Daphnia pulex: one gene and its partner. The main gene of each other region encodes a partner of the protein of the gene in region 2 in a complex. Links are inferred from orthologs where the notes say so. Each region holds a gene or a part of one and is shown on either strand. Other genes may lie near its edges.

Evidence for each region.
Region 1: mitochondrial import inner membrane translocase subunit TIM50-C-like (region 2) and mitochondrial import inner membrane translocase subunit Tim23-like share a complex: the UniProt entries of both Homo sapiens proteins name them as parts of the TIM23 complex. The link is inferred for Daphnia pulex from reciprocal best matches to the Homo sapiens genes TIMM50 and TIMM23.

What each region holds. Positions count from the first base shown.
Region 1 is NC_060025.1:1,871,023-1,874,230, reverse strand, and holds mitochondrial import inner membrane translocase subunit Tim23-like, read right to left. Parts: upstream 1,613-3,208; 5' UTR 1,489-1,612; coding exon 1,455-1,488; intron 1,390-1,454; coding exon 1,140-1,389; intron 1,081-1,139; coding exon 804-1,080; 3' UTR 718-803; downstream 1-717. Other genes in the region: phospholipase A2-like, read left to right, coding at 2,190-2,353, 2,416-2,576, 2,654-2,813, 2,882-3,031, 3,100-3,208. UniProt on the Homo sapiens protein: Essential component of the TIM23 complex, a complex that mediates the translocation of transit peptide-containing proteins across the mitochondrial inner membrane.
Region 2 is NC_060024.1:13,320,217-13,324,038, forward strand, and holds mitochondrial import inner membrane translocase subunit TIM50-C-like, read right to left. Parts: upstream 2,306-3,822; 5' UTR 2,262-2,305; coding exon 1,668-2,261; intron 1,595-1,667; coding exon 1,475-1,594; intron 1,403-1,474; coding exon 1,295-1,402; intron 1,231-1,294; coding exon 975-1,230; intron 907-974; coding exon 803-906; intron 741-802; coding exon 648-740; 3' UTR 593-647; downstream 1-592. Other genes in the region: serine/threonine/tyrosine-interacting protein B-like, read left to right, coding at 1-4; transient receptor potential cation channel trpm-like, read left to right, coding at 3,205-3,211, 3,331-3,810. UniProt on the Homo sapiens protein: Essential component of the TIM23 complex, a complex that mediates the translocation of transit peptide-containing proteins across the mitochondrial inner membrane. Has some phosphatase activity in vitro; however such activity may not be relevant in vivo.

The DNA of each region.
Region 1 (3,208 bases), on a different chromosome or scaffold from region 2:
GATCATCAAATACCGTGTCTCCGTGTCGACCGAGCAGTAAAACTAGAACAATTAAAAGGGAGAAAAAGTAAACTATTGTTTAATTTTCACTTTAAATAATTCAGTCAAGGAAGCATACCTTCAGCAACAAGCACCTTTTCATTATAGGATTTGAATGACTTTAAGGTTTGATTTATAATTCCTCCATCACTTGCTTTGGTGAGATCTTCTATCTTTCAACCTAAAGACAAATATAAATTACAGAATTTATATAAAAATGAACAGTGTGGATCTAACCATACCTCAAACATCAGCAATTGGCATTTGAGATGAATTTTTAGGTGGACTTCCATTTTCACCGTAAGCATAATTGGATTAACAAGACAAGACTGCACACTTCAATGGTATTTACTCCAGTAAGGTCTTGCATGTCTTTTTTACACTACCTGTAGAGAATTACATTTAAAAATGTCAATAAAAAAGACATGAAAATTCCAATGAAAAAGACATGACGAAGAACTATCACTTGTCAACAACACGGCCGGCTGCTGGTACTAGGCGCGGCCCTTCCCCGTAGTACCCAAGGCACAGGCAGTGACTTCAAAAACAAAAGACTGCTGTGAGGCGCGATCCTTTTCCAGTGTCCCCCTAGCGGCAGGGGCCAATAGCAATTTTGGCTATTGGCCCCCGAAATCCGGGGGCCAATAGATTTTTCCTTAAATATTTGTCACTCGATGATAACAAAAAAAACTAACGTTTATTGGAGAACTTTACAGTAAACACTAGGTGACGTTGACATAGGTATGATTCAAACAACCTAAAATTCAGTTGCTAGTCCAGCTAGTAAGTTTTTCTCTTGAGGTGAATGCACAATATGCCAAAGCTAGAGCAAGACCACCTGCTCCACCTTTCATGCAGCTTTTCAGACCTGAAGTTGATTTATATAATAAACCAGTAGCAGTGGCAGCAGCTAATGTATTGATTTCATCCTCAGTATCCCTTATCCAGTTAAGGCCAACTCCAAAAGCACTGTACATCACAGCAACAACACCAAGAGTATTTGCTGTTCCAGCTCCTTGCTTCATAACATAGTTGATCAATCTGAAATTTAAATATTTCATCAATAGGTTAAATACATGGATAAGATATTGAATAAGTACTGTGTTCTTCGAAGCTTTCCAGTGTGACCGGCTACTGCTGTGTCTTTGATTCCTCTCACAAGACCAGTAACACCTCCAATACCTCCACCGATCATGCACATCCCACCTATCGAAGAAAATGCTAATTCAAAACGTCCTCTATGGCGACTAGCTCCTTCGGGAAAGATGAATTCTGGTTGACTACTCTGCAAGTATGATGGATCGAAGTTCAGATACGGTGAAAGGGGGGCCAAGTTTCTGTTAGAATACACTGAAAATTCGATATTTTAAATTATGACAAAAGTGATAAATACTAAAATTTAACTTCTAATCTACCTGATGAGTTTAAGTCATTCTGTCCTGGGTCCATTTTTATGAAAAATTACTTCAAAATGGTTAGAAAATATTATGAAACCAGCACCGGCCGGACCTGTCGTTTGGGAAACGTGGATCGTCTGCAAGAATCAACTTCTCTGTTGCCAGATTATTTTTTAACAACTACCGTTTCGGCGTTTCCCCCCCCCCCCCAAAAAAAAAAAAAAAAAAAAAAAAATATATAAAAAACATTAGATCGATAAACAACCAGATAAACTCTTTAGTATTAAACTACTACTGGATCATCGGAAACATACGTAAGGTGAAAAAACAGCGCAATAATTACGCAATAGCTCAAGATTTTACTTTTAACCTTTGTGAGCATTTTTGGGGAAAAGAAAATGAAAGTAAAGTATGTAAGTATCGCATATTTGGGATTTAAACTTGAAACTGCTTGAAACCCCCTTCTTCGTTATTAGGGAACGGAAAAAAAACCAGGTAGCTACATTTTAAACCTAAAGTTTCGTAGACTAAAGGGAGAGTAGTACTAAAAAAGTTTCCCAAGAGAGGATGAAATAAAGCCAAGACAGTGTACCCACAGAAAGCGACACGAACAGAAGCAGGTCATCCATGCTCCCTACAATAAGCTGGACGACTTGACAACGGAGACCAATTTTTTAAGTGTTCAACAGTCGTCGCCGAATATTCAGTGGTCTCACAACGCAGTATTGATTTAGGAGGAAAACAAACTAAAATATGATTCTCATCATAGTCTTGTCTCTTTTGCAAGCAATTGTTGCGCTTGTTTCCAATTCCACAGGATCAAACGAATTATTTGTTCTAGATGGGCATCCGCGTGGCAGAAGGGCTGTGCTCGTGAACAGTGACCCCAACGAACCTTGTCGAATCTACGGCCATAGGTACGTGTTAACCTTCACGATTCCAACCCTCACAACGCCTCAAGGGAAAGTTCTTTTTTTAGTAACCCCATACAGGTTATTGAAAATCTACCGGACGGTCCAAGACTCCGAACAATCAATCAACAAGAATGGTTGACAATTGCCGCTGATTGTCAACAGCGTTTGCTCACTCTCAATCAGAAGCCGACCACTGCCAACAATCAGATAGATTTCATTTACCCAGGTAAACAAAATGAAAAAAAAAAATACATTATTAGTCCAATTGAATTTCAAATAACAGTTCGTTTGATACCCAAACAGGCACCAAATGGTGTGGAACAGGAGACGTTGCGAATAATTTTAAAGATCTAGGACCACATGCCGCCACAGACATGTGTTGTCGAGATCACGATTTTTGTCAAGACACTATGAAGCCTGGAACTTGCAAATATGGTTTGTGCAACACCTCAGTCTTCACTAAGTACGTTTTCCTACAGTAAATGTTTTGTTCACTGTAGTTCTAATAAAAATCCAAACTTTTCTTTAAAGGTCCCATTGCGATTGCGACGACCGATTTCGTCAATGCTTGCTAAATGCGGCGAATGACCCAGCTAGTGTTCCAGTGGGTTTCATCTATTTTGACGTTGGTTTTATAAGCTGTTATCGCCAGACACCTGACTGCGTCAATAAAGTATTCAGGTAAGATGCGCAATTTTGTCCGAAAGACAACTTTTGAGAGACCTAATGAAATTGAAATAATCACGCAGGGAACCAATAGAACTAACTAGGCGGAAGAAACGACAAAATCAATCGAGAACCAGAAATTTGCAAAATGGATGGTGTTTTATCCCGCCTCAACCGTTTAAAAAATCGGCA
Region 2 (3,822 bases):
GTGACGCGTTATCCGACATGAGAATCAATAAAAACGTTTTGCGTATGCTGCACAATTTTTTCTTGACTGTTCCTTGAAGGAATAAAACAAGTGATTTTCAAATGGTTTGCAATCTTTTTAAGTCGATTACCGGTCCAAAGCTTTAATCCATTTATTTGACGACTAATAATTCAATGCAGTCTAGGAATATCAATCCAGCACCTAATATTTTACCTAAATACTCCCATACGATACGGTATTTAAGTTTCTATCTTCAATTGTATTGCAACAACTAATCTAAGTGTAAATTACCGTCGAAGCATTTTATTTAGTCCAACGAAGGTAAAGTATTTGTTTAAACTATTGCGATTGAGTTCACTGGAATATTTACAGATTCTATTCAACACTTGAAGGAATGTGAACCCATCTACCGCGCAAACTGAAGTGTAACAATTGCTCAAAAGAGTAAAGAACTTGAAAACGACCGAGACAGTAGGTATCGACGACGCTTTATATGGACGGTTGACATCCTGTATAAAATATGGGACAAAATGTTTTCCCGTTCTTGGCTGTGCCTCGACCCAATGATAAGAGTATTTTTTTTTCTTTCAGAAACTTTCGATCGGTGATTTATTCGAATTAATATACTAGAAACGAGACTTGCTGAATCAAAATCGCCGACCAAATAGACCACGGGCAACAGATGTAGCTGGTAGAATTTGTTTCTCTTGATTCATTCGTTCCATCAGTTCCTGTTGTTCCTGCACAGCAACAAAATTGGGTAAAAACAAATTTAAGAATTGGATGATGGATTTACACTTACTTGAAGTTTCCGTTGATTTTCCCGAAATGCTTCGATAGGATCGTCGAATTGGTTGTAGAAATCCAGCACTTCTCGCACATCTTGGACTTCTGACGTAGCAATTGCTATTCACCAGTAAAATGCGTTACTTCATTAGTATTTTTTTCATACTATTTCTTAGAAGGACATTTACTTTTCAATAGTAGAGCCAAGTCGACAAGGGTCCTGTCATCATCGTTACCCTTCCATTCTTTAATTCTAAGTGCATTACGAGGATGCGATTTGACTGACTGGGTGTTCCAATCGAGGACAATCACTTTTGATGGATCGCGATTGATGCAGTCAAGATCTTTCACGTGATGACCATCAACATACCGAGTAGCGTCGCGGAAGAGTCGGTACATGATGTAACCGTTGGGATCCAAGGCGTCTAATATGGGAAAGGCCGTCTAAAGAGGTAAAGAAATTTAATTATTTTGTACCGAGAACGTGAAATTTAAAAATGGTACTTACAAAGGCTTGTTCAGCCGTGTAGACAACCACTTCAAATGCGGGTGGACCCACTTGTGCCAAAAAAAAATCTATTCCTGGCCTCTTCTTAAACCTCCAACCAGTTTGATACTGAAATTAAGAGAGAGAGCAAATGATTATGATGTTTCATTTGAAATGCATACAGTTCAACTGATTAATTACTGTCCAATCTGGGTGGACTAGAACACCAGTCATTTCCAAGATTAATGTGTAAGGAGGCTGATAATATGGCTCTTTCAGAGGATCAGGTAAAAGTTTATCTCTTGAAGGGTCTCTAATCATCTGAAAAGAAAGCCAAAAACAATATTAAAATTAATTGAAATGTTTTAAAAATCTGACAGTCAGAGATGCTTACTTGACTATAGTTCATTATGGCATTCCATGACCTAAGGATATATTGTAGTGCCAGAGGTTTTGAGCTGAATTGGTCTTCTATCACATTGCCCTCTTCATCTCTCTCTGGTGCTCCCCATGTGCCAACAATGTAACCACTTAGGCCGCTTAGTGTTACTCCAAAGAAAATAAGTGTGTATTTCATAGTTCTCCAACTAGCCTCTGCTTCCTTTTTCTTTTTGGCTTCTTCATCTTCTTCACTGTTGTTTTGTTGTTGTTGGCCAGGTGGAGAAGACTTCAGCTTTCCTTCGGTTTCATTTTGGGACTTTAAAACCTCTCCTGCAATTCCCATACCTTGAAATGAACCTAATATTGGACTAGCTGCAGCCGGTTTGTTCGCCGTCGTCGTCTGTGTCTCGTTGCTGCTGTCGGACTTTTGGCTGTAACACCTAAACTGTAAGTGCCTGGTAGCTAAGAGAATGTTACTTATTTGCTTTGGTTGACACAGCACATTTTGGGGAATTGTCACTAGTCTGTGAAAATTTCCACAAGTCAATTTTGTACCACTTATTTGAGATAACTTTACGAAACTCGTGACATATCTGGAGGCAGCCATTTTTCTTGATATTTTTAATTTTCTCAAGAATCTTCTGCAACATTTGTGTAGTTGTCAGATTGCTTCTTTATTCCAACCGTCGGGTAAAAAAATTCAAAAATCCAAAATCTATTTCCTAATTCCTATGGGTCTGTAAAATCTAAACGCGGTATATTGCGATTACGATTGTGAGTGCAGGATGCTGAGAACAAGAGATTTTGCATTCATATTTTCATGCCTTATTTTTGAATGGCCTTGCATTATTGCCGCCGCGATACTTCTTCGTCTCAAATGGAAAATGTTAAAAGTGTTCAGCTGTAGAAGGTAACATTTTATCGGTTTTATTTACATTCGGATTTCATACTTGACTGAATTATCTTGGTATAGTTAAAGTTAACCTTGTAGTTTCGTTTTCGACATTTTCAATAACGTTTTATTAGTGAGTGTGTCGGGGTCTCTAATGCTACTTGATATCACCGCGATGCAATCGGTTACATGTGATATGAATGCAAAGAATGCGCAAATGCAGGATTAATTTGTTGATAACATACAACTTATCGAGGATCAACAACCTCTTTATTGCCGCTATCGTGTAAAGTCCTCTTTAATAATTGCTCTCTCATCTCAGTGAAGCTCATTCTTTCCAGACTTGTAGTGAAATTTCATACCGTTCCTTGACTTTTCCCAGACGGTAACGTCGACCGATCCTTTTGTGAAAAGCCAAGTATGAGTTAATCCAAGACTTCTAATCTGAAGTCCAAATATTGCTACATACGATGTTATTGCTTCATCTTGTGTGATTGTTTTTAAGGTTCGACCTTCGTCAAAACTACTTATCACTGCATGTCAGTTTGTTGTGTACGTACCTTAAAACTAGTTCAATGCTGGTGAAACGGGTGCACTTGAATTTAAGATTCTAAGGTAGTCTATAGTTTCTCATGACTGAGTCCAAACACGTTCGGCCATGATTGGTAAGTTGTTTTCAAAATGCCGCTTTTTTTGTATTTAATTTTTACACATGAAATTCTCTAATTTAATGCTAAAACTTTGTTAAATAAGTAAACCATTTTTATTTCTTTTACCCATATAGAGGAAAATCAACTGGCTGTAACGTCTGCAAGTGGCGTCGTTTTTGCGATTCCTCCGGGTCATCCAGGCTGGATAGAATCAACATTTTGCAAGCGAGAATGCTCCAGATACGTTTGCAGCTCCGACAAAGGCCCACTGTGTACTTGCGGCCGAACGTGGACGTATCACAAGACTCACGGAATCAAAAATGTTGGCGTGTCGGAAGAAGTTTGGTCCCCTGCCCATCATACTGTCAGCAGCCCAACCGACTCTTATGGCACCATCGATTTCTTGGGCGGCCCACATCCCAATAAAGCTCAATTCATCCGGCTGGGCTTTGATTCAGGCACCGACCATATTTTTCAACTGCTGACCCGTGAATGGGGACTTGAATTACCTAAACTTGTCATCTCCGTACACGGTGGCAAAGTTAATTTTAAACTTAATCCACGACTCAAGCTCGTCTTCAAAGAGGGACTCCTTCGAGCAGCTAAAACTACGGGTACTAATTAAC